Arabidopsis thaliana: one gene and its partners. The protein of the gene in region 3 interacts with the protein of the main gene of each other region in a pairwise test. Each region holds a gene or a part of one and is shown on either strand. Other genes may lie near its edges.

Evidence for each region.
Region 1: the proteins of p24beta2 (region 3) and AT1G75180 interact in a protein complementation assay, tested with the Arabidopsis thaliana proteins (one large-scale study listed by BioGRID).
Region 2: the proteins of p24beta2 (region 3) and AT3G66654 interact in a protein complementation assay, tested with the Arabidopsis thaliana proteins (one large-scale study listed by BioGRID).
Region 4: the proteins of p24beta2 (region 3) and AT5G17700 interact in a protein complementation assay, tested with the Arabidopsis thaliana proteins (one large-scale study listed by BioGRID).

What each region holds. Positions count from the first base shown.
Region 1 is NC_003070.9:28,212,466-28,220,759, forward strand, and holds AT1G75180 (Erythronate-4-phosphate dehydrogenase family protein), read right to left. Parts: upstream 6,337-8,294; 5' UTR 5,909-6,336; intron 5,866-5,908; exon of another isoform or gene 5,682-5,865; intron 5,544-5,681; 5' UTR 5,447-5,543; coding exon 4,730-5,446; coding exon of another isoform or gene 4,634-4,729; exon of another isoform or gene 4,322-4,633; coding exon of another isoform or gene 4,307-4,321; exon of another isoform or gene 3,916-4,306; coding exon 3,685-3,915; 3' UTR 3,371-3,684; downstream 1-3,370. Other genes in the region: AT1G75170 (Sec14p-like phosphatidylinositol transfer family protein), read left to right, coding at 1,940-2,008, 2,106-2,282, 2,365-2,463, 2,548-2,793, 2,922-3,221; AT1G75190 (uncharacterized protein), read left to right, coding at 7,133-7,528.
Region 2 is NC_003074.8:2,086,299-2,093,962, reverse strand, and holds AT3G66654 (Cyclophilin-like peptidyl-prolyl cis-trans isomerase family protein), read right to left. Parts: upstream 6,048-7,664; 5' UTR 5,780-6,047; exon of another isoform or gene 5,315-5,779; 5' UTR 5,270-5,314; coding exon 5,118-5,269; intron 5,002-5,117; coding exon 4,956-5,001; intron 4,832-4,955; coding exon 4,781-4,831; intron 4,608-4,780; coding exon 4,522-4,607; intron 4,225-4,521; coding exon 4,087-4,224; intron 3,990-4,086; coding exon 3,839-3,989; intron 3,753-3,838; coding exon 3,666-3,752; 3' UTR 3,422-3,665; downstream 1-3,421. Other genes in the region: AGL91 (AGAMOUS-like 91), read left to right, coding at 2,165-2,701; AT3G66652 (fip1 motif-containing protein), read right to left, coding at 6,407-6,754, 7,000-7,664. UniProt on the Arabidopsis thaliana protein: PPIases accelerate the folding of proteins. It catalyzes the cis-trans isomerization of proline imidic peptide bonds in oligopeptides.
Region 3 is NC_003074.8:2,451,948-2,458,897, reverse strand, and holds p24beta2 (emp24/gp25L/p24 family/GOLD family protein), read right to left. Parts: upstream 3,660-6,950; 5' UTR 3,430-3,659; intron 3,272-3,429; coding exon 3,074-3,271; intron 2,836-3,073; coding exon 2,649-2,835; intron 2,573-2,648; coding exon 2,465-2,572; intron 2,380-2,464; coding exon 2,246-2,379; 3' UTR 1,980-2,245; downstream 1-1,979. Other genes in the region: AT3G07690 (6-phosphogluconate dehydrogenase family protein), read right to left, coding at 239-516, 610-831, 1,033-1,666; AT3G07670 (Rubisco methyltransferase family protein), read right to left, coding at 4,281-4,367, 4,468-4,590, 4,682-4,813, 4,900-5,002, 5,106-5,278, 5,461-5,541, 5,643-5,714, 5,963-6,016 and 4 more. UniProt on the Arabidopsis thaliana protein: Involved in vesicular protein trafficking. Mainly functions in the early secretory pathway but also in post-Golgi membranes.
Region 4 is NC_003076.8:5,829,153-5,837,703, forward strand, and holds AT5G17700 (MATE efflux family protein), read right to left. Parts: upstream 4,839-8,551; 5' UTR 4,595-4,838; exon of another isoform or gene 4,287-4,594; 5' UTR 4,264-4,286; coding exon 3,997-4,263; intron 3,704-3,996; coding exon 3,162-3,703; intron 3,026-3,161; coding exon 2,939-3,025; intron 2,865-2,938; coding exon 2,808-2,864; intron 2,695-2,807; coding exon 2,456-2,694; coding exon of another isoform or gene 2,430-2,455; exon of another isoform or gene 2,352-2,429; coding exon 2,233-2,351; intron 2,136-2,232; coding exon 2,049-2,135; intron 1,969-2,048; coding exon 1,873-1,968; 3' UTR 1,418-1,872; downstream 1-1,417. Other genes in the region: TFL2 (uncharacterized protein), read right to left, coding at 26-385.

The DNA of each region.
Region 1 (8,294 bases), on a different chromosome or scaffold from region 3:
TCTGATGCCATAATTCGAATCTTAGTTTTTTTTTGTTGTTGTTGTTTATCAAAACAATGATGAGATATTAGCAGACGGGCGGTCTGAATTGATGCCGTGTAGATTGTCTGCCATCGCTACTATGTAGCTTCTCTGAGTATTTGATCTTATTACATTTTCTCTTTGGTTGCGATGATGATGTTGCTAATATATATGTCTGGACTTATGAGATTATTCAATCTTTGAAATGATTGTGCAACCTTCTGAGCTTACTATCAATATTAAGAACCTGTTTTTTTATATCATGTATTAGTAACCATCAAAAGATCGGAAGTTTAATATTTGCAGGTATTGGTAGGATTTTATGTTGAATGACACCTTTTTTTCAATCAAAATTTCAACCAATCCTTCCAATTACTTGACAACCATTTCTATAACACAATGGAGATTGCGGAATTCTTGAAATTATCTGAAAATTGGGACATGTCGGTTTCATTGTAAACTGTTGACTTAGAACTTTAGGAATCCTCGTGTTAACTACAAAAGAAAGTCGCAACACCTCCTTCCAACTTTTATTGTCGTTAAATAAGTTGCATTCGAGTTTTGCCAGATTGTAGTATTTTAAAGGGGTCGTACTTCTCAAGATTTGGAGGAAAGGTGTTTTCGACTCTTTCGATTCATCGTTGTGCACAGCGTGTCTTCATGGCCATGGTTTAGATGTCGCTTTAGATTGTTTCTCTTCAAACTCCAGTTGAATGTTAAGAGATAGTTTGGAATGTAATAATTTAGTTTTCTATTGTAAGTTGTGTTTATCTTTCGTACCTTCCATTTGTTGTAATCGCATATTTCTCATAGTGTATAAGACCGTCCCCAAAGGTTAAGAATCCATTGGTTCTTAATCTTGTATCTTAACAATTACTTAAACTAAAAAGCAAATCTTAGTTTTTAAAATTTTTTCAAAATTTTAGTTTTACTTAAGAATCTAGTATTTTTTTCATTCATAAAAACTTCTTAGCTAAGAAGCAAATCTTAGTTTTTAATCTGTTTTGATTTATTTTTCAAAATTTATTTTTTAGATATTAGCCAAAGATACATCTAAATACACCAATAGTGGTGCTCTAAATAATCATATAATTGTGGCCATACCAATATTTATGTGTGAATTGGACTTGGATAGATTTCGAAATAAACATGTATTTTTGATTCCTTGGGCCTTGCTTTCAAAATTCTATGGCCTCTAAGGCAATTGACACGTGGAGTATGCAGAATCAAGTATACGTGAATCTCACGTGGCGTGCCGTACCGTTCAGTTACCTTAAAATATAATTTTAATCGCTGTCTCTGTTGTTGTCCACTTGTCTGAACTGCAAGCGTTAGGTGAATGTCTTTACTTTTCTTCTCGCAACTCTTTTCATGAAATCAGTTTCAACTTTTCTTCAGCTGACTCTTCTCCGACTTGTCTCATCACTGCAAAGTTCTCTCTTTATTCCTCGTTCTCTGTTTCGGTACTACCCTCGTTCTTCTTTTTAAAGTTTGGGTCTTTCATTTGATTTCATACTCTTGATTTTTATTTTACATCTGACGACTAGAAAAGTAGGTAGATTATGAATCTTTCTGGGTTTGTAGTGAGTTTATAGGAAATTCCTTTGTCTAGTGTTCCAAAATTTGAGTAGATCTTGAACAACTTTGCAAATCTTGTTGATCGATATGTTTGGGAATTGAAAATTTACTAGATTTTGAATTTCTGAGGTTTTGTGTAAGCAGTTGAATGAAGCAGTAGGTGGTTGAGTCATGTTTGGTCTGTGATGTCCTGTCACACGCATCACATGAACCTTGGCTTTGGATTTAACGGCCGTTGTTAGTATTAGGCTAATTATTAACATGGCTTTTGTTCATTGTAGTTAATTTTCACAGAGTAAAGAGATTTTGATACATTGGACCCAAAGTGCAATTTTCAAAAATGTTTCGCTGGAAGAATTCTTCTCAAACCGAACAAGAGCAGAAAGAGGCAGCTCTCAGAGAGGCAAAGGTCAAATATTTCAAGGCCTTGTTGATGATTTTCATTTCACTTAATTACCTAGTTGATTCGTAGAAGCTATAATGCCTTCTGATTTTTATGATTATAGATGAAAGAGCTTAAGACTCTCATAGGTCAGCTTTCTGGAAGGAATTCACTGTATTGTTCAGATGCATGTCTGAAGAGATATCTGGAAGCTAGGAATTGGAATGTAGGCAAAGCCAAGAAGATGCTCGAGGAGACGCTCAAATGGAGATCGAGTTTTAAACCCGAGGAAATCCGATGGGTATGTATCATAACTGCATCATGCTACTAAATCTTAGAGAATTCCTATCCAACCAAAACTTATAATTCTTGGTTTCTATTAGAATGAAGTTTCAGGTGAAGGTGAGACTGGTAAGGTTTACAAAGCTGGATTCCATGACAGGCATGGAAGAACGGTTCTTATACTGAGACCCGGCTTGCAGGTTTCTATTCATCATTTTTCTTAGTTAATGAGTTAACTTCAGGTCACAAGCTGAAACTTCCATTTTCATTGACAACTTTTGTAGAACACAAAATCGTTGGAGAACCAGATGAAACATCTGGTGTATCTCATTGAGAATGCTATTCTGAATCTGCCAGAGGATCAAGAACAGATGTCTTGGCTTATTGACTTCACGGGTTGGTCAATGAGCACTAGTGTGCCTATTAAATCTGCCAGAGAAACTATTAATATTCTGCAAAATCACTACCCTGAGAGACTAGCTGTAGCTTTCCTCTATAATCCTCCAAGACTCTTTGAGGCGTTCTGGAAGGTTAGACAAAACAATACTTCTATCTCATAGTTAGACAACAAGACAACTTTGTTTGTGTTTTGTTCGTCTGTATGTGCAGGAACATGATGGCATTTTCATTTTTTCTTTAATTATGTGTTGTTCCACAGATTGTGAAGTACTTCATTGATGCAAAGACATTCGTCAAGGTGAAGTTTGTTTACCCAAAGAACTCGGAAAGCGTGGAGCTTATGAGCACATTTTTCGACGAGGAAAATCTCCCAACCGAATTTGGAGGGAAAGCTTTGTTGCAGTATAACTATGAAGAGTTCTCCAAGCAAATGAACCAAGACGATGTTAAAACTGCTAACTTTTGGGGATTGGGTCACAGTAACAATAACCAGCTGCACGCGAGCAACGGGTTTTCTGGAGCTGAGATTGCCCCTGAGCCAATCCAAAACCACCCTTGACTGGTTCTGAAGGCAATGTATTATTAAAACCAACCCTTTTGAAATGGACTAACCTTAGCTCTTGATGCTAAGTAGAGAGGTTGTATGATTTAGACATAGCATTTGATTAAAATAAAGAGGGTTTGTGTGTATTAGTAACTCTTGCAAGGCTTGTAAGCGAATCCAAAAACTCTTTACACTCATAAGCATTTTATTTACAGGAAGCAGAAAACAAGATTCGCATTACCAGCAACAAGCTTTGTTTCTTTCAATCTGAATCTCACCAAACACAAGAAGAAGGGAAAATGATTTCTTTCAAAATTTGAAGGCACAAAGAGATTAAAAAGTACATAAAACAAAAATTATACTACACAGCAGTATTAGCTTAGACTATATAGCTTAGAGTTCTGCAGTCAAAAGTGATGTGCAACGGATTGGAGTTAGAGGGAGAGAGTAGATGAAGCTTGAGGCAATTTGAATGAAACTAGATAATCCTCCTTCTGAAGTTTCTGGTGGTCGATTGATAGGTACGCACCAGAAGGCCAACCCCAATGCCAAGACCTACACAGACACCAAGACCAATTCCCACACCAACCCTCACACCAGCGTTGAACCACGACATCTCACCATCTTCACCATCTGCGTACTCTCTATTCCAGTACATGTCGCTGTGTTCTCCTTCATATTCTTGTTTATAACTTCCATATTCAGTAACCTGCACAGAAATTAACTCCCATACTTAACAAAGAAAAATAATTAAGAGACATTCATAGCGATAGTCAGAGAAAGAATACAATCGTCATGCAATTACGCTAATGGTCTTTTTGTTCCAATCTTATAAACTCTTTCAAATGTAGAATAGAGGCTAATGGTCGAAGATATAGACATTGCACTATAGTTAAATAATCTACGGTGAGTATGAAGATCTATCTCCAATAGGTATTGACACTGTCAACTGCAAGAGCCTCCAATTAAAACTTCAAGCATAAGCTATTCTTAACATTGACTCTTAAACAGGGCAACGTTTCCCAAATCAGTCTATGCATAAATTAAAGATAATATACTGTAGCATTACATGTGAAAACCACGATATTCCAACCAATAAGTCACCTTAGAACTGACTGTAGCAGGCAAAAGGATAAGAATTCAGATATTAAGATCACAAGACAAGAGGCAAATGGGAGAGAGAGAGTGTGAGTGAGAGATAGAGAGAGAGAGGGCGAGAGCTATCTATTGACTTGTAAAATGTGGCTGGCCCCATACCTCACATGATCATTTATAACGAAGTTGGTCCACTTCAATATCTAAAGGAATTATCTTCCTTAGAGTACCAACTACCAAGAAACATGTCTCAAAGACTCAAACTATGAAATCTCAAAACCATGAAAAACTTAATGCTCATACAGCCAATAGTGACCATGAAGACTCATATCTTAGGAAAAGCATTCAAAGCATTCAATCAATATAAAACTATTCGGAAGCATTATAATAATCTTGAAAAAATGAAGTACCAAGCAATTAAAAGTTACCTGATAATCAAGCTCAGATGAGTTTCCTTTATGAGGCTCATCAGTTTCATACTCGGGAATCGAATCTAATGCAGTCACTCTACCGTGCTTCTTTCTGAAACCAAGCTGTAGAGTCTTCGTTAGGATGATAGGAGTTCCAGAAAAGCAGCCAGTGACATAGACTTCAATAGTTGGCAATGGAGAAGATAACTCCGAACCACCAATATGTTTCTCCTTCAAGAAACCAGACTCTGCAGTGATCTCAGCTTCACAATTCATGTTCCACCGCTTCACGCTATGCTTAGATTCACCAGTGAAACCATTACTACCAGACATCTCAAGCGTTCCAGACAAAACCAGCTCATCTTTATCATAAACCTCAAACTTCACACTACCAGATAACCTGATATTATCCGTGCTGATAAAAGTAGCAACTTCAGATTTCTTATCAACACGATCACGCCTAAGCTGAGAAGAAACTCCTTCAGAGTACATGCTCATTCTAACACCATTAATCTCCAGAAGTGAATCTGGATCCAAAGGAATATGAGTAATGGTGAGAACCTCAGGTGTCGAATGATCCACCTTGAAATTACTGATTCTGACATAGAACACTCTCAAATCAAGCAATGGCGATGATAATGAAGATGGTAGTCTGGAATTGTGATGGTTATAACTCTGATATCTGATCATCTGGGATGCTTCACCGTTGTTACGTGTCTCATAAGGCTCCACCATGATTAAAGAAAACCAAAATCAATCTCTGTTTCTCACTGAATCCAAAACATATCCATCAGAGACGCGTATATTGTCGATTTGGATTGGAATACGTGTGCTGCAGAAAAATTGGAATCAATGAGAATAACGTGAGAAACATTCATTCCCAAAATGGGGAAATTTAAGGCAATAAAAGAAGCAAAAATCATAACTAATGAAAGAAAGAAAGAAAGGTCAAGATTGAAACTTTACTCACTTGCCACAAAAACAGAGAGATGGTCAAAGAAATCAAAATTTACAGATGCAGAAACAAATCTCTCCAATGTTCTATTTAGAAACCGCAGAGATTGAAAGAAGGTGAAAACTATATTTTTATATCACAAAGGAACAACCTTTGAAGGTAAAACAAAAATTGAAAACCTAGAAAAATCCGGAGAGAAGAAAGGAGAGAAAGAAAGCAAAAAAAAGGAAAGGGAAGCTCACCCAGAAATTTGTTTCCATCCACAAAAAAAAATTGTGAATTTGCACAACTAGTGCTTAATATTAATCTTCCTGTCTGAATCAGAAATTAAACACGGAAAATAATAAAAATAGCAAAAATTTGTGGCCAAGTAGGATTTTTAAGATCCTTCCTAGATCGTTGCTTTCGATATATTGCGAGCTCGGCGCGTGGCGTGGCGACGGACCCCAATTGATAGTCCCAGCAAAAAAAATATGTCTTTTTTGAAGAAAACAAAAGAAAATATCGAAAGTGTGTGAGTCGGAAAAAAGGATCTACAGTGAAAGGGAAAAATAAATCAGAAATCGGGAATAGTGATGGGAACTCGATAGAATTGTCTTTTTATGATATCCAACGAGAAGAGAGAGGCAAGAACCAAGAGGAAGAAGAAGATGGGCTCTTCTGACTTTCTGATCACGTGATCTTATCCCTTTACCAACAAAACAAAACCATTCGCTGTTTACGAGACACACCGCGTCGGTTGTGTTCATCTAAAACGACGCTCATTTTGTTGTTGGTTTTTCTAAACAGTAAGTATTGGGCCTTTATTGGGCTTTTAAATTTACTCCATTTCTTAAGGATTAGTGAACATCGTGCCGTTTTTCTGTTAATTGATCTCACTCTCACATTGTGATCTTATTCATTGTATTCAAAATTCAACTATTCATTGTTCAACAGTATAGAGAATGTCACGGTTCGAACCTCACATGATCGATATAGGTCGGTTTTCAATTAGTATCGAATTATATAAATTCATCTTATATGAATGTCATCATTATGGGTTTGTTGTGAAATGAAGTTTATGTCAAGACCTCAAACCTCACACACAGATTGTAGCTACCAACCGGGTCGTGGTTAGGTGGTGCCGTGGTGGCAATAGTCTTGCATACTAGATTTAAAGATATACTTCTTCTATAATGTCTAGAACGTAGACTGTATATGAACCCTAACTCCAAGGATATATATGTCATACTTGTATTATATTGGTGGATAATAGAGAAGAGATAACCAACGGACAAAAATAAAATCTACTTTTTCTTCTGATATTTTATCTAAACACCAAAGAAATGGGCGGCTTTTGGTTTTTAAAGACTGTTGTTTTTGTTTCTGTCTGTAAAACATAAAAGAAAATTTTATTGCTCTTGAAGATATTAAAAATCAGACAAGCTGTTCAAGAAAAATATTATTCTGTTGAATAAAGTAAACTGATGGGGAAGAGAAGGTTTCAGAAAGCAAAGGAAACGTCGTCAGTAGCAGAAGCTTCATCTCCGACGGAGTCTCAGGCTACAAGGAGACGAAGAGGAAGGCCAAGGAAGAATCTTGAGAACCCAGAAGATTTCAAGAAGGAAGAATCTGAGGAAGACGAGGATTACGAAGAGTACGAGGACGAAGAAGAAGAAGACGAAGAAGCTGAGGTGGTTATTAACAGAGAGAAGCTGAAGAAGAAAGTTAGGAGCAGTAGTGGTAGTATGGAAAAGGAGCAAAAGATGAAACATGAAGAGTTAGAGGAGGAGGAGAAGCCGGAGATGACGGTCAAGGTAGTGGTTCCACCGCCGTCGTCTAGACGGTCGAGGAGGAAAAGCACGCCGGTGAAGAGCTGGTAAACTTTAATTACCGTATCATTAATTAATGGAGTTTTTGTTTTTGTGTGTGTTTTTGGATTTAACTATTGTTGGATTATAAATTAATTGAAACTCTCATGGGAAGAAAAAAAAACAATTGATTTTTGGATTTGTTAGTTCAAAACAAGAAACAAATCTTGTTGATCTTAGTGTTATTTTGGTGCATCAAAATAACTTTAAAACATATATGATGGTGAAGACTAAATTAAATGAATTGTTTCATGAGAAAGCTGTTTAGGGTTATTGTTTTAGTTGTAGTAGGTTGTTTAATTTATTGGTTGCGTAGTTGATGGATGGTTACGTCCCTTTCGAATTTTTATACGATAAATGATAAAAGGTACCATCGCACATGGTGGAACGGATAAGTTAAGAAACTAATGGATATTGCTGGTGAAAGAAGAAACCTGTCTATTATTAAAATCTTTTAACCAAATAGCTGTAATTGTCGATTAAAGTTGTACAACTAATTAATCTTGGAGCAGTGAGAGAAAGAGACTCGACGAGTCCACGTTGATATACTATTTTAATACAAGACATTGTTGGCCCTGCAAGGCCTTCACGTGCGAACTCATCTTCAAAAACATTCCCAAAACATCGAAACCTATCAAAGGATTGAAACTGTCTAAAGTTTTGATATGATTTCGAAACTTTAACATCTTTCCACAAGTTAACACTGTTAGATGACAACAAAAAACAAAAAAGCTTTAGACCAAGAAGAAGAAGCTTTAAAGGCTAACAAAATAGCTTT
Region 2 (7,664 bases), 370 kb from region 3:
TATAAGTAATTTGTTGTTTTCTGACCAAAAAAAAAAGAAGAAGGATTATTGTAGTCAAGAGTGAAAGCATTTTTCATTATATATATATACAGGCCAACGGTTATACAAACATGCAAGAAGAAATCAGTGGAGGGAGTTCAAATTGCTCCTCATTTAGTGCTGTTGATTCAATGTAGTTTGTGGGTTTTGTATGGTCTCCCTGTTGTTCACAAGGACAGTATTCTCGTCACCACTAGTAATAGTATTGGTTTCGTTAACGAAGTAATCTTTGTGGTTGTCTTTTGGATCTGCTGTGAAGACGAATCACGTGTAGGTCCATCTTTTATACTTAGATATGTCTAATTCTGCATATTGATTTTGATGATGTTGATGTTGATGTGCAGAAGAGAAATGTTAATCTATGTCTTCTGGCTGTGTTTGATTTTGTGACATCGTTCTATGTGATTACTATTTGGGCAATTCAAAGTTTATTCGCCAAGTATACACTCATTGGGATTGTTTGCAACATTTTCAACATTTGTATCTATGTTTCATTTGCCAAGGTAAAGCTTTCACTCTCACTCTCACTCTCACTCTCATTGATGGTTAAGTATTAATTAGCGGTTTTGATTAGTTTTTTTTGTTTGTAATTCGTGCAACAATTAGAAAAAAATGCTGGAGAGTAAGACCTTCAAGTACATGCCGTTTTGGCTGTCGTTAGTTAGTTTCATCAACGCTGGACTTTGGACGGCTTATTCTTTGATCTACATAATTGATATCTACCTCCTTGTAAGTTTTTTTTTTCTTTTTTTTTTTTGGCTTGAAAACTTAATGTATTTACTCCCTCTGTTTTATATGATAAGATATTTTAGAAAAACATTTAGATTTCTATGACAAAAATTAAATTCATTCAAATTTGTGACTATGTATATTCTACATTAAATTTCACCATTGGCTAGATTATCTATAATTAAATATTAAGTTATGTTTTTAATGTAAAAAATATAACAAAAAAATTAGTTAGATTCTTGAACTTTGTGCTTTTATCTAAGACATATAATAATATTTTGAAACAGATAGAGTGATTAATTTTCATTGATTGAATTTCATTTATAACATCTATTTGTTTGTTTTGTGTTATGGAACAGATAAGCAGCGGTTGTTCTGTGCTTTTCAATTAATAGTCCACGCTTGTTCTCTCTGTAAGAGCCAGAAAATTACTCCATCGGAGTCATAATTTGTTTTTACTGAAATTCTAATTTTAAAGCTCTACGATCTAAAATAAAAGAAATAACGAAAAAGAAGAAGCCAAACCGTTTTTACTTTTTTAGGATATGGACAAACAAGTATTAAGATATTTAAGATAATTTATATTAATGGACTTCATTATATATAACATACTTACTTAAAATAAATTTAATTGGGTTCAATACCATAAAAATTTTACAGGTGTCAATTGTCTTAGTGGACAAGAGTCAACTTTTATATATAGAAGTCTAACTAATTTTGCAAAAAGTCAATTGACCCACGTAATAGATTTAGAGACTTATAGAGTTTCGATTTAATTATACCTAACAAAAAAAAAGGCTTAATGGGTTAAACGCATTGCAGATTATATTTTTATTGAATATAAATAATGGTTTAATTTTAAATGTACATAGATGTTTATGATTAATTATACCCAGAAATAATACTATTTAAAAAAAAAATATGACACGTAAGATTATTACTATAATACATAGAAGTTAATATTTTTTTAATATGTGTTTATTATTTGTCAAACTACTATTATTGTTTGTTGGGTGGAAATAAACTATTTTGGTAAAGAAGAAATTTTGTTTATTAACTTGGTAAAGTTCTCCTTGTAATTCAAACTACCATTTAATAAGAGGTCTAATAGTAAGATAATACTAATAATAGTTAAATATCTATGAATATTGATTAAATACATGGAAAATATTCAATGCTCTCATAAGGTAATGCAAGATTTTCAAAGTGGAGTTACTAAATATGTATATATATGCAAAAACAAAAGTTTACTAAAAATATACATATATGATGATGAGGTTCAATAACAACTTTCTCCACATTCATTACTATAAATACATAAAGAAATACAATCTTCTTCTTATATACACAAACATAGATTACAATCACTCAAAACATTTCACACAAAAAAAAAGAAATGGGTAGGAGAAAGATTAAGATGGAGAAAGTGCAAGACACAAACACGAAGCAAGTTACCTTCTCAAAACGTAGGCTGGGTTTGTTCAAGAAAGCGAGCGAGCTTGCGACTCTGTGCAACGCGGAGGTTGGTATTGTTGTCTTTTCTCCAGGAAACAAACCGTATTCCTTCGGGAAACCGAATTTTGATGTGATTGCAGAACGGTTTAAGAATGAATTCGAAGAAGAAGAAGAAGGAGATAGCTGTGAAACATCAGGCTATAGTAGAGGCAATAGAGCTAGACAGGAGAAGAAGATATGTAAACGCCTCAACTCGATTACTGAAGAAGCTGAAGCTGAGAAGAAACATGGTGAAGATCTTCACAAGTGGCTTGAATCTGCTGAACAGGATAAGTTCAATAAGCCCATTGAGGAGCTTACGCTTGAGGAACTCAAGGAATTTGAGGCTAAGATTAAGAAAATAAGCTGTGGGATCCAAAGTAACATTAGTCATATGCAGGCTTCGTCTTCTCTCATGTTTCTCTCTAATGATAATTAGCAGTTATGCAAATGAGAAGGCAACAGTAACAACACCGATTTGGAACTTTCATTTTGTATTAGTCGTTATAGATTTATATGGTAGAGATGTAGCAGATGGTTGGTACAGGTTTATTGATTGTATCTTCCTCTTGATGATCGATGGTTTGTAACTTTCGGTTGCCAAATATTACTATGAAGATTTTCTCTTTTCAAAAACAATGAATTATAACAATATCTCCTACTCTACAAAATTGATAATGATTACGATATGAAATTTTAAAGCGTTATTTGTTTTTTTTTCTCTTATATTATTATAGATTTTGTCTACACACTCTAGATATTTATCTTTAATTAGAAAAAAATACATAAGAGTACACCAACTAATTAACATATTTATAAATGTGTTTTTAACATTTTTAAGTTTTAGTCAAAATAGTATCAAAATACATAATTTGATGTATGTCCTATATATCTTATTCCAAATTATTAAATATTACCTAAAACAAAAATACAGTATTTTTGTAATTGTATTCTATGAATAATTTAAGAATTCCTTAAGAATTGTTTAAGAATTATTTTAGAGTTTTTAAAAGAAATCTTGTAGAGATTTTTAAGAATTCTTAAAGGATTTGTTTCTGGTTTTTCAGATTGTTCTCCATATCTTCTCATATAAATTTTAAAAGACCTCTCTTTTTCTCTAATAGTTTTATGGTACTTAACGGGTATAATACAGAAGTTTTTCTATCATAACAGGATAAAATTCTCTAAAATCAGTTCATGTATTTGCTCAAGTATCAGAAGCATAATTAAACAAAGATTCTATTTCCTCGAGAAAAATCAAATAAAATTACAAAACAACAAGAAACTGTAAAATAGAAAGAAAGAAAAAACCTCAAAAGAGGATTTATACAAAAGAGCGAGTATGAAGAAGGATTTGGCGTGAGCCTCATTTACAGAGGAAGCAAGGAAGAGAAATTTTCATTTCATGTCTCTAGTTTCAGTACAACACCAGTGATCCCTATTGGCGATTTCGGTTGGAAATGCTCATCCGTATCCACTTCTTCGATCTCCTGTAATAATATGATTTAATCTTTTAACACATGAAACTATTAAACAAACCATTCAAGCTGATAGACTGTGCTTAGTTGGATCAAACCTGTACTACATCCTCTCCCTTAAGGACTCTTCCAAACACTATAAGTTGATCATTCAGATCCGGGATTGGGGCCGTTGTGATCAGAAGCTCAAAATCCTTGTTGTTCCCTTTGTTTTTTGGTGTTCCCAACATGAATGCCTCATGTTTTGGGCTGTAACAGAACATATGTAGTTTTTTATTTTTTAAAACCAGCGAGAGATGATAAACATTGACACTTAAAAGCCAAAAGCAGAGCAAGCAAGTTATACCCAATGTGAAGGCGACCTCTGAGCTTTCCTTTAGCTGTCCATTCTTCTACAGGTATAGAGCTCGGTGAGTGACCAGCTTGTACCAAGTAGTTCTTTATAACCCGCTGAAACGGCATTCCCTTGAAGTGATCTTTTTGACTGCAACAATACTCAATGTTCAACTTCTACTATTATATTAAGCTACAATATCGTCACAGACTGATTCAGCCCATTTCTCTTTAATGAGGTTTCATGTTCCAAACAAAAATTCCAAGAAGAGTACAAGAGGACTTAAGGATCAAAATCAGTCAATCAAGAAACTAAAGCTACTTGAATCCTATCAAGCTAGAAGTAATACTCCTATTTAAGAACAAGTCATGACCTAGCTTAATCAAATTACTCTACTGTTCTTTTTCTATCTAACTTAAAGGAAAACAAACGAATTCCAATACTAACCATAGATCTAGAAACTTGTCCACAACTTCAGGGGAACCTTCTTTGAAGAGTTCGACAGTTATAAGTCCTTTTGATGTGTTTATATCCTACATGAGATAGGAAAATAGAAGCAAGATATCATTAAAATCAATATTCAGATAAGACACATCACATTTTTTTTACTTCAAAAACTGATGAACAGAACATAATACCATGATGAGAAATAAGAACAAGGATTAAAACAAGAAACTTAAGCAAGCAAACAGGGAGATTAACTTACAGCAAAACCAGGAAGATCGTAAGTTTTTTGCCCTGACGCAGTATTAGTGTCCTGAAGCAGAAACCAAAGCCAGATCACATATGGTAAATACCCTAAACTCTAAACCTAAGTGCTCGGAAGTTCATCAGGATCAAAACTCAAAAGCTATACATTAAAAAATCTCTCAAGAAAATACCTCAAATCTCTGACTCCGAGTTTCATGTTCAATTGTGTTTCTTGACCTAGGAGATATAACCAATGATATCCTTTTTAGTTTATAGATAATCACATAAAGTAAAAGGAGAATCTACTATAACAGAAGTAATGAAAAAGGAACAATTCAAAGATGAAAACAAACCTTTGGGACCAATGGCGATAGGTTGTGACCAACGATAATATGACTACAGCAACTACAAGATTACAGACAATAATAGTGGAAATACTTATGCGACTTGGACCCTTCTTCTTCTTGCTTTGATTTAGAAGAGCCTGCGGTTTTATCTTCGCCATTGCACCTTAGTTTCGCAGAAAGCAAACGAGGGATACAACTTGTCTCTGCAAACCATAAATCAACAGTAAGTGACAAGCAATCCAGAAAACAAGTATACACTACACAAAAACTCCAAATTCGTATCTGTAAGACTATAATTCAATTTCAAGTTGGTAAAATCAAAACTGCAATAAGATTAAGTTGTTACCCAACTGAAGAAACCCTGATATCACGTATTGACCAGATTAAAAATCTAGCATATTTGAATGAATAAACGCATGTGAAAATATCACAAGGGTTCATACATAGCTTGACCGGTAACTTCCGATACACCAGATCCAGTACTTTTCCAATTATCGATCAAATTGAAATAAATTGAACAAAAGTGGATATGAGAAACGGAGCAGCTTATCATGTTCCAATCAAATAATAAACAGATCTTTCTTTCTATAGAAATCCAAAGACCTGAAAGTAAAATCAAATGAATTCCAAGGACTTTGATTGCTTCATTGGGTTCTCGAAAAACGTACCTGGAAGTTAGAGAGAAGAGAGGAATCGTGGAGATTGGTCGTTGCGTCGATGGAAACTGGTTTGAATTCTCTGCTCTCTTTTCTCTTTTGCAGAGACGCTTCAGATCAGCCGCGTGTTTATCCGACGGCTACGAGTCCACCTCACCAATATCCGACGAATATTATTCCACAAACAAAAATACAAAAGTTGATCATTTTTGAAAAATCGTATAGTTCGGTCTGGTTTTCTCATGAAATTATCTGGTTATCTATTTGACCCAAGAAAATGATTCTAAATTCAAAAGAAAGTAATTTTACTATGGTCTAGTGGTTATCACGTTAATCATACGGTTTCCGCCCTAATTGTCACTGGTTTGATCCTTCGCTGCATCATTTGATTTTGCATTACACATACTAAACTGTAAATATAAATAAGCATTGGTAAAAAAGTCAAATTTTCTACGTAAACACTTACAAAAGGGAAAAAAAAAATGCACAAGCAAGATCACTTAAAAAAACCCAGGTCACAGTCAATTGTTCGGTTTTGTGATTTTCTTAGCCACTTTTTAATTGATCGGTTTAGATATAGCCTACCATCAATAAACCGTTATTGTGTTAACCTGAAACAAGCCATCCAATATGATCTTTTTAACTTGCACACCATCTCCTCTTTCTAACTGGCCTCTGTTGATTAGTAACATCGGCTTTAGCTCTCAGTTCAGTTTGAGATTTGAATGTCGCTTCTACCGCCAATTTGGTTCCCTTGAACCTCTCCCTCCGTTTCTCCATCTTTTTCAGACTCTCTTGTATACGTTCATTGTCTATTTCAACACCTTTCACTTCTTCTATTATCTCGCCTTCTTCTTTGTCATTTATATCTCGATTCTGCATAGCTTTCTCTTCGCTTTTGCCCATTAACTTTCTTGGTTTCTGAACATCTTGTTGCTCGATTGTATCTCCGCCATTGGAGAATCTTTTTTTTGATTGGTTAGAGACCTGAAACACACACACAAAATATCTATCACATGAGAAGGGTCTTGTTCTTCATTGTACACTAACTGATGTCTAAATATACGGATGTGAGCAACATAAAACCTAAGTATAGAAGACAGACCATATAAAGTGATAAAACAGTCAGAAATAACACAAAGAAAATCCAGGGATATAAATAACTGAAAGGCGTTTATACTTCATTCAAATATAGGTTTAAAAGCATGTAGATTTAGTTTCCCAATCTTTACCTTTCCTTGCCTACCAGCTAAGTCAACATGATCCTGACGCTTGATGAAAGCATGCCCATCTCCTCTCAGCTTCTTGGATCTGTGATGTCTTTCATCATTTTCATGAATATGGCTCTGTAAATATCCAAACCTTTGTTTGGTCGCCATCCGATTATGTGTCGGTACTCTTATGTCGCGGACAAATATCTCATCAGTATATGATGGATGCTCAGAATTAGAAACTTCTCTCATTGAACATTGCATGTCATCTGCCATATTATATCTTCCTCTATCAGGACCAACCCAATCAGCATCATACTGTAGTCTATCTTTTACGCTCACATTATGGCTACGACCAAGATTCTGCGTCCAGCCATCTCTCGGTGCAGCCTTATGAAAATGGTTATTCTGGCTGTCATATGCTTCAGGTGTTCTGAAGTCTCTGGTATCATCTCTCCGGAAATCACCTTTTGCTTCTTTGGTATACCAAGAATCTCTCAAAGATAAAGACGGTGAGGACCAACCATCTTGGATTCTATACTTATAACCATCTTCCTCTGAGACAAATCTATCAAGATGCCAATCATGAATGTAATGATGTCTTTTCTCTATTTCAGAGAATTCCTCATGTCTTTTATACCCTTGATATTCTCTCATTTCCACTTCAGCAAAAGAACGCATCTCCC
Region 3 (6,950 bases):
AATTCTTTAGTTTCTTTGAAATGTGCAATACTCTTTACTGTTTTATGCTATAAACTGGATTTTGTGAACATAAATTTACATTATACAGAACAAAGTTCTTAGTAATTTTGCTGGTATGGACACTTGCTATTTCGACTCAGATGAAAGTTACAAATTCGACAAATTCTCAATATCAAACATACATAATTTAAGGCTAATTTAACACTTAAAACCGAAGTCATTGAGATATATGGAGTACCTGAATCATTCCCTTGCCTTTGATGCTGTCACCCATTTCAAGGCTAAGTTCTCCTTTTGCAAGTTTCTGGCCGTACCACGCATTACGACCTTTCAGTAATGTTACATAGGTATCCGCAAGCAAAGGCCCAGCGAGTTTCTCTGGCTCCTTGGCCAATAAATGAGTAATAAAAATCATCTCTGAAGTACAATGCGCAAAGTACACTGATTTGCTGGTAGCACTTTCCTTAGTCAGTGTAGCCACCATTCCTGTGGAATACAAAAACGCCAAAACAAACACTAGCTCATAAACTTTGACCTCTGATCACCAGTTCCAGTAATTTACTTTGAATCACTATTATTCAGATAACCATTTAAGACACCTGATCTTACCTGCACCAATGGCATAAACATTCTTCAAGCCACCCATTACTTCATGAGTAATGAGGTCACTATTATCCCAGACTATGAAATGAGACTGCCTTAGAAACTTTCCCAAAGGCTTCCTCCATTTTTCAGACCCGCAAATCCGTGCATTGGCGTACTCTTTATTGTATACCTCGGAAGCAATATTAGGTCCCCCAAGGTAGAGAATGTTCTCAAGAGGAATACCAGCTGCAAAGAGAATATGACAAGCAAACTGTAGAATTTCCAATGACAACAACTACTGATCATACACTTCAACGCCAACACAGTCAATACTCATATAACCTTAATAAAAATAGAAAGTTTCTCTACATCAACAAAAATACTAAGGAAGATGATATCAAATATTCATCTAGCAATCAGATAAAAGACAATGGGAAGTGAATTTACTCGCTCGATGGATCATTTGCGTAGGAGTAACAATCCGAGGATGAGGCTCAAACTCTGCTTCCACACCTTTAGCCAAAGAGATAATAACAGGAGCATTAACCCTCTCTTTCCAATACTTACTAATCTCATTGAACACCTGAAACGTCTCAGTTGATGGTAAACCATTGATGACAATATCAGCATCCCAAACAGCTTCTTGAAGATTAGTCACAACTTTCAAAGGACACAAAGGAGTCTCAATCATATTCAAGCAAAACCCATCTTTCAATATCTCATCAGCATATAAAACCCTATCCCCTAATCTAGCTTCCACATACTTGAGATAAGCACACCTTCTTATCAACCTCCTCAACAATTCTTCCCTCGAATTAATCACTTCGAACAAATGTTCAGCTGTGGCTTTATCGATTGCTCTGCCTCCTCTTCTCCAGATTCTCACACTAACTTTGCCCCTAAACTTACCGTAATTTTCCTGCAACATTGCAATGAAAACGCTTCCCCAAGCACCAGCTCCTACACCAACGATCCTTAACGGGTCGTCATCAGCTTTACCCATTACTCTACGAATCTCATCAAGCCTTTCTTCCACCAATCTGCTCGGAACTGAATTCGTCTCCACCAAATGATCCATCATCAACAAAGCCTTATGATTTCTCTTTCAGTGACTCAATCCACTAAAAACACAAGCAAGCTATGGAACAAAATCGGACTTCTTGTCGGATTTATCAATGCTTAAAACTGGAGACGACTTTTTCAGGAAAGTTTGTGTTTTTATTTTATTTTCAGGTAACTTGTACGACGACTAAGAAAATGATAGCTGGCTTTATCTATCTACTCTGGGCCCAACTAACTTAGTCTAGTGTCCACTTTTATAACCTTCTCTATAAGAGTTCGAATCCAGTTAAGGGATTTTGAGTACTTTTGACACGTCTTATTCAAAGCTTGATCACATTGTTATTCTCTTTGTTTTAGGGAAAAAAGGTTTTAAGGAATCACTATTTTCTCTATTGAAATGAAAACCTAGCTTGTGGAAAAGTTGTCTGTTAATAAAGAGAAAAAAAAGAATTATCATCACGAGAGGATTAGTTCTTGAACATGGGAGAAAGCAAATCTTCCAATGAACTACGATCTGTCTGTAAAAAGGTTTTAAGTAAAGATTCCCTGGTACATTTTAAGGCAAAATAAGTTCAAAGTCATAATAAACTCGATACTTTTAGACACGAGACATGCCGAGTTTGCGTTCAAACAAGCGACGCAGAAGATAAACTTGGAGAAAACTTGCCCCAATCAGTGCAAACGACTCGAACAAAGCTTTGTGTACTGCTCTTTTGCTCATGTTCTCGTTCACTGCACAAGGAACAACCATATTCAAACCATCACTCAATATTGAAGTGAGAACAACAAATGTGGTTTTTAGAGGAAAAAATGTTACCGATAGCTTGACGATCGGTCTGAGCTTCTAACCAATGTTGTTCAAATTGGATGTTGTAAAGAGCCTCCTCTAACTTTGATATTTGCTCCATCAAGGGAGTGAAATGCTCTGCACAAAAACCATCTTCAGCTAAATACCTCATCACCAAACGAAACTGAAACAAAACTAAACAGATAATCCTTACCGTCCTTTGCGTGTTGATCGTAGTATGCAAAGTGACCAAGCTGTACATCGAAGTCAATGGTTTCATGATAAGGAGACTTGTTTGTGAAACAGAATCTGTAAACCCCTTTTTTTTGGACAACAAAATCATGCTTTGCGCTTATCTGCTCCCTGAAGTCATGAATTTGTTCGCCTGTTGGGCCATGTATCTATTCAAAATGCATCCAAAATATATCAACAACAACAACAACCACCAAATTAACCAGATGGTACAATATAACAGCTTTAAAGAGTAACCAAATTCTTTATCAATACATACTTCAAATTATCTACCAACATTAACAATGGAAATCCTAAGCATTGTTTAGGAATACCAATTCTATTGATTTTCGACGATTTTGCAATGTAGAATGTAGAAAAGTTCAATTAGAAGAAAAAAAGTCATACCACAAGATCTACACCATCCTCGTTAAAATGCCATTGAGAGTCAGACTTGATGACGACGAAAGAGACATGAAGCGTATCACCTTCATATTCAGCCTTGTGGGAGAAACATTCTTCACGGTCTATCACGAATCTAATCCCTAACGTAGCCTGGAAGCTCCATAAGAGCCCTAGTAATACGATCGTACCCTTCAAGCTCATCTGCCACAATAATTTCGAATTATATCAAAGCACAAAACGCAATTCAATCGTTTAGAAGAAGAATCGACTAGAGATTCCAAACCAAACCAAATTGAATTGTTCCAATTTCGATTCCTACGAGGTGATTAGGTTTGACACAGAGAGTGAGAGGGATTTACCTTCTTGAGAAGATCAAATCTGATGATTGATTGATTAGATCGATGGAAACTCGATCTGGTCGATGAGTGTTAAGAAAATTTGAAGATTGATCGGAGTAGAAGACGGTGGAGAGAATTGGATGAGAAAGAGCGAGCTCGTTCAGAATCGGACACGAAGAAGCCTGTTTTGACTCAAGGGGCAGTTTCGTTACCCGACAAGATCATCAAACTATAAACGACGTCGCTTGCTTACTCTTTGGGTTATTTGGTCAGCGGGCTTACGTGGCGTTATATCATTGGAGATAAAACATCTTTAAACCATTTAGATATTGCCACGTCATATTATGTCGAAAATGGAAACTCCATAAAATCAGTACGTTTCATTAGGAAGACTTTATAGGTTTCTCGTTTTTTACTTTGCCACAGTGGAATGTTTACTTGCTTTGCTAAAGAAACAAATGTTCTGACGTGTACCATCAGATTATCTTGTTTGCGGTAACAAGGAGTGTGAGTTTTGGTACGGTTTTCGTTATGAGTTGTAGTCAGATATATTCTTAATTTTCAAATTATCTTTGTTTGTTGGATCGATTATTTCAGTTCGATTCGGATCAAATACGAAGAACATGTTTCTACCCTTACTCTCTCATGCGTTTCCTTAATTAATCAATTTAGGTTCAGGTTTTGAGTTTATAGAAAATGATCAAATTACATATATGGCTGGACCAATATATTCCTATACGAGTGAGACAGATCCAACCATGCCTACACCAACGTTCAATTTTTTTGTAATAAAAAACTACATTTTTGGTTGAAGCACAACGAGGCCTACCTTTGATCCATCTTAAAGCTGTTGAAATGTCCTCATTCAACATTCACTTGAAGAAGTTCCTAAGTCCACTGAAGAGCCGTAGAGCCTTCAGCTCACCACTTCTGATATCTCTCAGTCTCCTCCTCAGAATCTGACCCAAACAAAACAAAAAAAAAAACACAGATTCCACAATATCATGGATCGATCCACAGACTCTTATCTATCGTATTGGCTAGAAAGTTGTTCCTTACGTATTGAGCACGGTACAGTATCCTGCGCTCACTAGTGGACAAGTCTACAGCTAGCTGTTTCAGAAACGCTTTTCGGTTCAACTGTTTTGGAGATGTTATGTCCAAATCCATTGATCCACTTTCCTACAATTAGATAATTGACAAAGCAAACTATAAGCAGATGGAGTGAAAATTTTCCCACAAAGAGAGAGAGATGAGCTGTTTTGTTACTTACCTTTAGAAATCGGCTGTACTTTGATATGCTTGTTTCGCATGAGTCCAGTATGAACTGCAATGCGTCTTCCTCGATTTCAGGATATTTTAGATCATTCTTTGTTGATGTCTTATTTGAAGCAGCTTTCGCCATCTGAAATGGATAATAATTGATAAGAGATGTATTATGAATTTGGGAAGAATTGGATGGTAAAAAGGGTCAAGATGGAGTTGCCAAACCTCTTCAAAGTTGTTTCTCATATCTGGAGGGCTCACCACAAGATAAGCATATGCCATTAGCTCCATTGGCCAACCCGTTATCCTTACGGGAAAGCATTGAGGTCTGCCAGAGAAAAGTTAACACAAACAATCAAAACAAAACTCAAGTTAATCAAGAGAGATCTACAAATTTGAGAGGGGAACATGGATGGTGGAGAATGGAATACGTCGATAATCCGTGTTTCTTTAAAGCATCCAGCTTTTCCTCGTAACACTTATCGTTTTTCCTAAGTGATAATGCTAGTTCTACTGAATCACTAGGATTGGTTCCTTCTCTGGGAACAAACCCATAAGATAACAATAGCTCTCCGTTAGATTTATTCCCATAGGATATGAAAACCTGCACAATGTCATGTTACTGAAACATATCAGAGACTTCAGACAACATTGGTTCCACTTTGGACTGACTTACTGAAGCGCTAAAAGGCAAACTGTGTAAACGGGACTTCTTTGTGTTATACACTGACTTATATTAAACTTCAATGCTCGCTCAGGTTATCTGAATGAATTTATCTTATTTACCTGCTCACCTGGTTGATATGGTCGATCTGTTGTAAAGACAACTCCTTTTGAAGATTTATCATAATCCAGGAACGTCTCAACCTTTCCAAGCAGATTTTGAAATATTGATTACCATAAGTCAATCATGCTTTCTGATTAGGAGAATCTAGGAGCTAATTGGTCATAAAGATAAGTAGAAGTACCTCACAATTATGATTAAGCATATCTGCCCATGGAACTAAGGCAAATCTTCCATCCATAGAAGGCAACCGCACCTGTGTTAGAGAAGCTTAAGTCTGAATTGCAGAGACAAGCACGCAGCACACGGAAGGAAAGAGAAACGAAATAATGCAATATTTTGGTTGTGAGTGGTCATTGTTCAAACAATAAATTGTTGGAGACAGCTATATTATGCAGAAAGTCATGCTAAGATTAAAGAACAAGTCTGTTGTTTCAAATTCAAGACATCTAGATTTACATCAATTATCAAGATAATGATTGCTTATGATACAGTAGTTCTTACCAACCGTGAGAATAGGATTCCAAAAGACCACTTAAATGTCTCATCATTGAAAACCTGCAACCAAGAAATAGCACACTCATATACATGTGGACAAAACAAATTTAAGCTCAGATAATAAAATAGAACCAACACTAGTTGTAATTACAGAAGTGCATCTTATTACATGTCCAAATAGTAAGCTGTAGCAAAATGGGCGTATACCAGTTACCTCTTTAGGGAAAAGTTGAGGGTGTTTGGAAAATATCCTGCTTCTTAGATCTTCATAACTGAGGAAAAGAAAAAGGAAAAAGACATGAGCAGTGTCTTGCAAGACATAATCATCAACCCCCTAGCCTACAAACAATAAGTACTAGTGACTGCATCAATGATTTCCAGCAGTTGAGAGAAAGAAAGAAAGAAAGAACAATATCTCACGTTCCAACAACATTGGTGATTCTTTCAATTGCCCGTTCTCGAATCTGAGAAGCTTCCAAGTACATATCAAGCTCTGTCCGAGTCCTGAAATAGTACAAAAAGGCTGTAGGGAGTAAGAAACTGAGACCAAAGTTCAGCTACAGAAACAAGTACAAAACTTACCAGTATAAAAGCGAGTAAGGTTGTCGGGGAAGAGCTGAGATATAGTTAAACCATCTTGAGCTTTTCTGAAGACTTGCTTCACTTATAAGATAAGTGGCGAGCAAAGGCCAATCTGGAACATCATAACGTTTCATCACTTCACCAGCTTCTGCGTTGGTCCATTCCTAAAACCCAATCTCCGATATTAGATATTCACATTCATGAAAGCCAGATACTTTAACCTTGCATTGATCTGAACAAGAGGTGAGGGATTGCTTGCAAGTGAGATCAAGGAATATAAGATTAGATTCTTTGATTCCGAGTGAAATTAGGAGTGTGAACTTACGGAATCAGCACTGATGACGAGAGAAGGAGGAACGAAGAGCAATTTCTCTCCTTTTCTGAGATTCTGTGAAGCGACGAGGCCTCGCTC
Region 4 (8,551 bases), on a different chromosome or scaffold from region 3:
AGTGAAGACGAAAAAAGGAGCTTACTTTTCGAACTCTCTTACGACGAATAGCTTCAATTTCATAAAACCCTTCATCAAGCTTTGGCCTTTCCTCTTGCCCACCTTCTCCTTCTCCTTCTTCATCTTCCTCATCACCTCCATCATCTTCATCCTCGTCCTCTTCTTCTTCTTCATCTCCATCCTCCGTAGGCCTATCATCACCAATCTCGCGAAGAATCGACTCTCCACTTCCACCTCCACCTCCCCCTCCGCCGTCGTCACTGCCAAACCCACCGTCTCCACTAATTTTCCGGCTTTCTCCGACTGTTTCCACCGCCGTCTCCGCCTCACCAGCTTCGTTCAACACCTGGGGTTTCTTCTTAACAGCACCACTTGCCCCTTTCATTTCCTGAGTATTCGAGCCTCCCAAACCTGAAGGAGGAGGGTGAATCAAGGTAATCGCGTTCTCTTCTCTTCTTCTCCTTTTTAGAAATCAAGGATTTTGGAGGAAGAAGATGAAGAAAGATTGAAACTTTTTCTCTATTTCTGAGGTTTTTGTTTTTGCAGGAAGAAGACCTGACCTGACCTCAAAGACCAGTTTTTTCACTTTTTTGGATTCTCTTTTTTTTTTTTTTTTTTAATATCACAATAGGAAAAGTTGAATACAGCAAATTCTTAACGTTTATAATCTAATTAGAAGAGATTATTTCTAATTACTAATATGAAAATAATAAATACTACTGAAGAAAATATGTGAAGGTAAATTAAATCGAAAAATATATTAAACTGAAAACATTTTCTTTAAATTAGAAATAAAAGAACATCGTGCTCTTGCTCCTTTTACAAGGAAATCAACTAGGACATTATTACAACTTAAAAAAAAATCAAAGGAGATTGAAAAATCAGAAAATAAGTCTCATAAACTAAGATTCTCACTCCAAGTCTCCAAGTGCACTGCAAAGGCAGACAACTTAGTTGGATCTCCTAACATCATCATCAATAATTTTCAGCAATATCTCATCCAAACCAACAGAAAAGAAAGTCCTTCTCCAAGATAAACTTCATCGAGATTCAGATTCTTTCATTCCAAAGTATAGTTATCTTGATAGTAACTATGTGATTACTGCTCGAGTTTTAGCCTCAACTTTTGGTGGGCTAAAGTTCTATTTTCTTCAGTTTAGTGTGTTTGTTCTATACTTTGTCCAACCAAAACTTGTTTCTTTGTGATTAGTACTTGTACACTAAATGATGCATGTTTTGATCGCTTTGTTAAATTTGAATTGTTACTATAAAATTTGCAGTTCTTTTTTTGTTTAAACGTTAGAAAAATAATAATTACTATTATTATTTAAAATGGTGATATGAAAGAAGTAAAAAGGAAGAAAAAAAACATTCATTAGGATCGGTTCATAAATAGGGGGAAAAATGGAACGTTTTGACTTCAACATAAATAAATGAGTATTTTATTTGATGGTGAGCTTATGAAAGTTTGTAACGTTTCCTCGAAATATATATGAGAATATTTTTTTTGTAAAAATTCACGATTACAAGCACTCAAACAAATGGAATTTTTTTCCCCACACACAAAATATACATCCATTAAAAAATCAAGAAAGAAGTTAAAATTTCAAACCTCCCACAATTTTTTTTTTGTTTAGAAAGAGTATATCCGAAGAACAAGAGAACAACCTTTTTCTCTGATAAAAGAAAAAGTTCATCCTTCTTAACCTTTTTCAAAGTTATGAGAGTTGCATTAACCTAATAATGCAATCTCAACACCGATACTTCATTCTTAGGGAATGCAAAACACAACCACAATACAACATAAATTATTCTTTCTTTTTTTATAAAGAATTTCTTAAAAGATTTCTTTAAATTAACTTAGTTGTATGTTCACTTTCTCTCTTCATCTCTTGTGGAGATAGTAGTCGATTGTACAGCAGGTAAATTTAGAGTCCACGTTTTCATACGCTCGTTTGTCTTCTTAACCTGTAATTAGATAAAATTATACATTTAATATGACGAATTTTCTAATAAAAATTTTGAGTTATATATTAAAAGTAAATTACCTCCAATTCCCAGTCAGTTTTGTAAATAACATAACACAATATCAACGTTTGGATACCAACTCCAGCCAACATTCCGGACCAGAGTCCCTGCATACAATATCATTTATTCAAGTTAAAATTCTAAAAGTTCTAATGATTGATCATAATGAAGTACTGGATACCAGTTTTCATATATATGATGTACCTTAATCCCAAAATTGAAAACGTAAACAAGGAGGACACCTAAAGGAACACCAATTGCATAATAAGATGCTAAGTTCACTAATGCTACCATACTCTGCATCCCTGCTCCAATTGCTACCCCTGTTTATATATGTTCAAACAAATTTAGTGGTTACAAATTAGTGAAATCTAAAAGTTTATGTTATAATTTATTTATGTCTAATATAAGGGTTTTATTTTGTAACCAGATAGAATGGGCTGGATGATGTTGAAGAGTATAGATATGCTAAGGACGATGGAGAGATCAGCTACTGCATCCGAAACTGCTTGGCTATCAGAGAACAAATACGAAATCTGACCGCCAAACGCTAGGCAAAGAGCGGAACATATCACACCGATCACCGCTGATACCACAAGCACCACTTTTATCGAGAATCTCACCGCATCCGCATCGCCTTTTCCCAATTCATTCGCCACTCGTACACTACATTTTCGGATTCATAGATAGAGAAACATTCACTTTAGTATTAAACAAATAATATATGTATACATCAAAAACAAAATACTGTGAATGAGAGTACGTATATAGTTACAAACCATGCTGCACCCATCAAGCCAAAGCATATGTTCATCTCCCATGAGTAGATATATTGGCTGCAAATTTTGAATTAAGTATTTAGTTTTCATATGTATATGGAAAAAAAAACTTCTTCGGATTTAAGTAATACCATATGGAGAAAGCGGAAATTGCGATATTCGCATCCTTTGCATATCCAGACATCAAGACAATGATGCTCATATACCAGTACTCTAAGCTGTTTGAGGCAATAAATAAACAAGAGAAGCAAAAGAAGAGTCATTAGAAATTTGTATTAGCCTATTAGTAGTGGTCCACGCTTAATAATCATGTTTTAATCCCGCGAAAAAAATTAACAAATAAAAGCAAGTTACCAAAGCATGAAGCCGGAGGATATGGATAACTTGAGCATGGGAATAAGATCAAGAAAAGCAGCAGTGCTAAAGCCGGTCCAAGTATGCGGGCACCACCCTCCAAACACATATACAAACTCGGCTATGGCCACCGACCATGAGCTTATATTAAGCCCTAGAAGCGCACCATGGATCCCCATCCCCATCACGCTTACGCACCACCACGTGGCCGCAATGTCCAAGACCAAGGCTAGGGTCGAAAGAATGCCTATGATGGCGTTTTTCATCTGCGCTTGGAGGTACATTTGCATTGTCATGGTGAACACGATGCTGTAGAGATAAGGAATGACCCATGGGTAAATCTCGTCTACTGTCTCGGAGATCACAACGTTTTGGCCTAATAACCGGAGAATGGGACCCGCTAAGACGATGAAAGGGACGAAGAGAGTTGCAATAAAGGTATCTACTATCCAAGAACGTTGTAAGTATATCCCCATCATGTGGTATTGTTCTGCTCCGTATGCTTGTCCACATAACGTCTCTGTCGCACTTGACATACCTGCCTGTAATAATAATATTACCATGCAATTCATATTCTCTACCATATAATTGGTTATGAGTTGAAAATACAATAAACACTCATTCATTACATTATATCAGAAAGAAAAAAAAATCATTCATTACTTTTTCATATAGCTTTCTGCTTAAATGTTAAAAACAGTGTGAAACCACAACATTTTACTATTAGTACCAAAAAGTCTTTAGCGAGAACAAAATATCTATTTTTGTAATGAATTTTTTTTGGACGAAAATTATAGTACTATTGTTTTAACATATAATATATGATGGATCGTACCATAATACCGTAGATGAAGCGAATGAAAGTGCTTTGAAGGAGAGCATAAGCAGCGAGACCCGTTTCACTGGAGTGGCCAATGAAGGCTTGAGCCACCACTACGCATCCAAACGACATAACTCTGAACAAAGTTGATGGTAAAGCTATTCTCCACATCTTCCTTACTTCACTCCAAATCTTTTTTCTCAAGTAGAGACTCTCTCTCCTTTGTTCTGTCTCTGACCCATTTAACAGTCTCTCTTCCATTTCTCCACCACCTCCACTCATTTTTCCTCTCTCTTTGATTTTCTCTAAGTAAATAAAAAATACATGTAGAATTTTAACTTATTACTACTGTAATAGACATGCCACAAAGATAACTTGAGCTTAATTCAAAGTTTCATCCAGGTTTAAGAAAAACAAAGGGTCGTCAAGACTACTATGTAAATATTAAACACCAGTGAGTGATCAGAGAAGCTAAGTATATCCTAAATTCAGCCTAAATCCAAAAGCTTAATTTCTCTTGACAAAATCTTCACGGATAAGTCACCCTAAATATGCATGTATATGTACATATTTTCTTAAAGAATTTATTGATGTATGGAGGTGATTCACTTACCTGTTAAGCTAGGTTCAAGGGGAAAGAGTCGGAGAAACCGAAGAACCAACAAATTAAATATTAGTAACCCAGAAATATTCAAAAGGAAAAAGAAAAGAGGGCAAGAGAAAATAAGTGTGATATGATCTTTTCTCTCTCTCTTTGAGAATGTGGTCGACTTAAACTACAACGCTTGGCTATATATACTGACTGAGAGAAAGAGAAAGAGAAAGAGAGAAGAGAGAAAAGAAAAGGGTTAAGTAGGTCTAGACGTGTATATTGGGACAACGTAATAGAAAAGTGTATATATACACTCATATGTGGAAACATTTTAGAAAGTAAAAGCGTCGTTTTGTTTGTTTAAGGGAATTAACAACGTGCAATTTTTAAATACTAAGTGTTACTTCTGATTAATTTTAAGTGAAGTTTCACGTCAATTAGAGATTAACAAGTTACGAATTTATTATTGCGAATGATTAACCCTTTTTTAATTTATACTTGGAAAGTATATAAATTGAAACTTCTATTTTGTATAGTACATGATACATCTATACTATATTTCGAGATAAATGTATGTTATGATATTGATCATCTTTTAATGAATTATGCGTTTCGTTGCTTATGAATATCACTCATATGCAAAAATGATGTATGTAAACATCATGCAAAAATGATGTAATCATGTAAGTTAGACACGGAAAACGATATATTTTAGAAAAACATCACTACTTTCTGTTAAAAAATCTCTAGTTTTATTTCACCTAGTGGAAAAATAGTTACGCCCAAAGAATTTCGTTGCTGTAAATTACAAAGAAAAATACAAATCTGTAGTAAAAATACATACGTATATACAGTTGTGGAGGGTGAATTGTGGAGGTGTTGTTGTCCACGACTCCACGTGCCAAAAACAATCATTTAATCCATGCAAATGCTATGCATCCATCCTCAAATAAATCAAACTTCAGACTTTGGAGTAAATGAGCATCTAATAAGAGACGGAACTCTCTCTTCCTTTCTCTCTCTGACACAACCTCAAACAAATCAAAGTTTCGACTTTCAAGTGTCGTTTAACCGAGTAATAGAAATACTACTACTATAGATTATAGATATGATAAAAAAAATGTTTTAGCTTCTTTTATGTATTCGTGTTTTACTATTTTCAATTTCATAGTTACAAACTACGCAAACGACGTCCCGTTTCCTCAGAAGAAACTCAGACTCATAACTATCGATCGGCGATGTTTTAAAGACAGACACCTTCGACGACTGGATAGGAGGACACGACGGGGACCCATACTAGCTACACGTTATATGATTTAATTTTGACAATTCATTCCTACCAGTCCACGTTTTTATTGGATACTTCCATCTGTTTTGTTTTCATTTCAACGCTTTATATCACTAATTTACTATTACAAATCCTTAATCCTACTTTTTTCCGTGATATACTTATTGAGATATTTAGTTTAATTATATATTTTTGTTTATTTACTATGTCACTTATGACTCATCTATCTAACTTTTTGGCCAGAGGTATAACTAACATTTGTCATCGTCAAGAATTGGAAAAAGAAGTGAAAAAACAAGGTATTAAATGGCAATATGAGATGTATCCAACAAAAAAATGAATTTTGTAAGTTTGGCGCAGGCATCCATGTGAATGTACTTAGTAATACTAGTAGTATCAGAAGAACCACCGTCATTGTGTTTTGTATGTTCTTGATCACAGTTTCATCTTCCTATGCACTTCGATATAATTTTATATTTTAATATATATTTTCTACTTTCGCTTTTGTAAACCAAATTCCCTGCTAAAAAAAAAAAAAGTAATAACCATTTTCTTCTATTTTCATGAAACATAAATATAACTTTCTTTCTATAGTTTTCATGAAAATAAATGGCTCACCTAACCACTGACATGGGGGACGACGGCCTTTTGAGCTAATAGCAGAAAGAGTGGTAATTCTGTAAATTATTTATGTTCTTTTTTCATATATCTTGTAGATAGTAATCTATTAATCATTTAATCTTATGATTTTTCTTCGGAATTTTCATGATTTCTAGTATGGGTTTGGTTTACGAAGACTTAACCGGAATTGAATTGAATTGGAGTGTTGGGAGGTTATCTCATCGGTTTGATTTAAGTATGAGACTCCGCATAAGACAGAGGATCTCTTGGTAGGAAGCTCGTGTTTCTGTGCCATCCAGCGATGATTTGATAGTGAATTTCCCGACGATAAGATTGGTTGAGACGTAGCGTATCATTATTCTGAAGTGCATGAACTCATAAACTATTGTATGTTCTTTCAATATCGTGTTGCGATTCTAGTTCCTAAATCGAATAACATGGGAAATGGATCAAACCTAGCTCAGGATTTAATGAACTCGTATAACGATTGTATCCAAAAGTCTCTTCGAGAGAGTATAGCCGGCCAAATTTTAGTTCTCTATGTAAAATATTAAATCAAGATGATGATCAGATTATAAAAGAAGAATTCAATTTCTCTATGTCATTGTTGTGTTGTGTGAAACTTTGACCGGTCAGTATTATTGCTAAGATTATTAAATTTTGTTGTTAAGAGTTATTCAAAAAGAATAGGCGAAAAATGAGCAGAAGAGATTTGAGATATAATTAACAACAACTCATTGTAAAAGTTAATGAGAATCGAAAGATCAATTGGTAACTTGGTGGAAGATGGATCGAGCATCGAAGATTGGTGTGAATGTGTCCACTGTCGATATTATTAGAATTTATTAGTTTCATTGATTGTTATTTATTATGAAAATGGTATTATTTCGTTCGTGTCAATAAAAAGGGCTGGACTTAGTTAGGTGGTTTCATAATTTCATTGAAGAAATGACCGAGCATAGCTACGTAGACAAGTCCTTAAGCACAGCTTCATATATCTATGTCACCTAGTTTTTTGGTATCGCAAATAAATATTTGCGTCTTTAAATGTGATTGCGATCAAATCTATATTTTTGTCTTCATATAATTGATATTAAACCAAAAAGTTTAATTATCTGATACTACTAGTATATAACTATATATATGTATGGTTCACAACACTAATAGAAAACGTTTAAGCAATATATGTATATACGTAAACACCGAATGACAAAGGAAACTCAAATTTTACTTTTTGGATTTTAATTTTTCAAAATCAAAACTTGTCTTAATGTCAGAAATCAGAATATATTACAACTCATAGATAGCGGATAAAACTGTTCTTCATTTGCGATAGTGCAGAATGCTGAGAGAAAAAGTGATAGAAAAAATGTTTTGTTGGCAACACAAACATATATTGATTAATAGTATAGATTTACAACAAATTAGTGTCAGCCTTTTCTAGAACGTTTAAGTCGGCCAGTAGATTAATTACTTCCTGTCCGCTATATCATGCAAATCCAAATGAAAATGATTTGATTGATGTTACTCTAACTGTAAGAAAAAAGTGCATTATTGAAAACTTCCTTTTTCTCTGTACACAACTACAATAGCCAGAAGCAATTTGTAGGTCATAAAACATTATAATAGATATTTTCTTTTTGGAAAGTTTAACCTCTTTTTCTCCTTAATTGTTGGGAGTGCAATTGGGTATTTAAGAATGAAGATGAAACTTAGATTCAGGACCATTTTGTGTAGCCACTGACGACAGTCCTTCGTACATAATATTTATGTTTAAGTTGGGTGTATTATAAATTTATATAATTAATTATGTATATTGTATAGGTGGAGTAGGACCAATTTAGTCGTCAAAAGATAATGTGCATGAATGATGACAAGAATGCGATATTTTTGGCATGAATCATGATTAATCAATGATGTCAATCAAGATTACAAATTTATACGAAATGATAGTAAAAAGGTTCAAAAGTCTCTTAATTCTATTACACCAACAAAAAAAAAGTCTCTTCATTCTACCTCACTAATATATGTTTGTTCGGTTTGGATTGTTTTTAAGAGGTCCGAGCCGA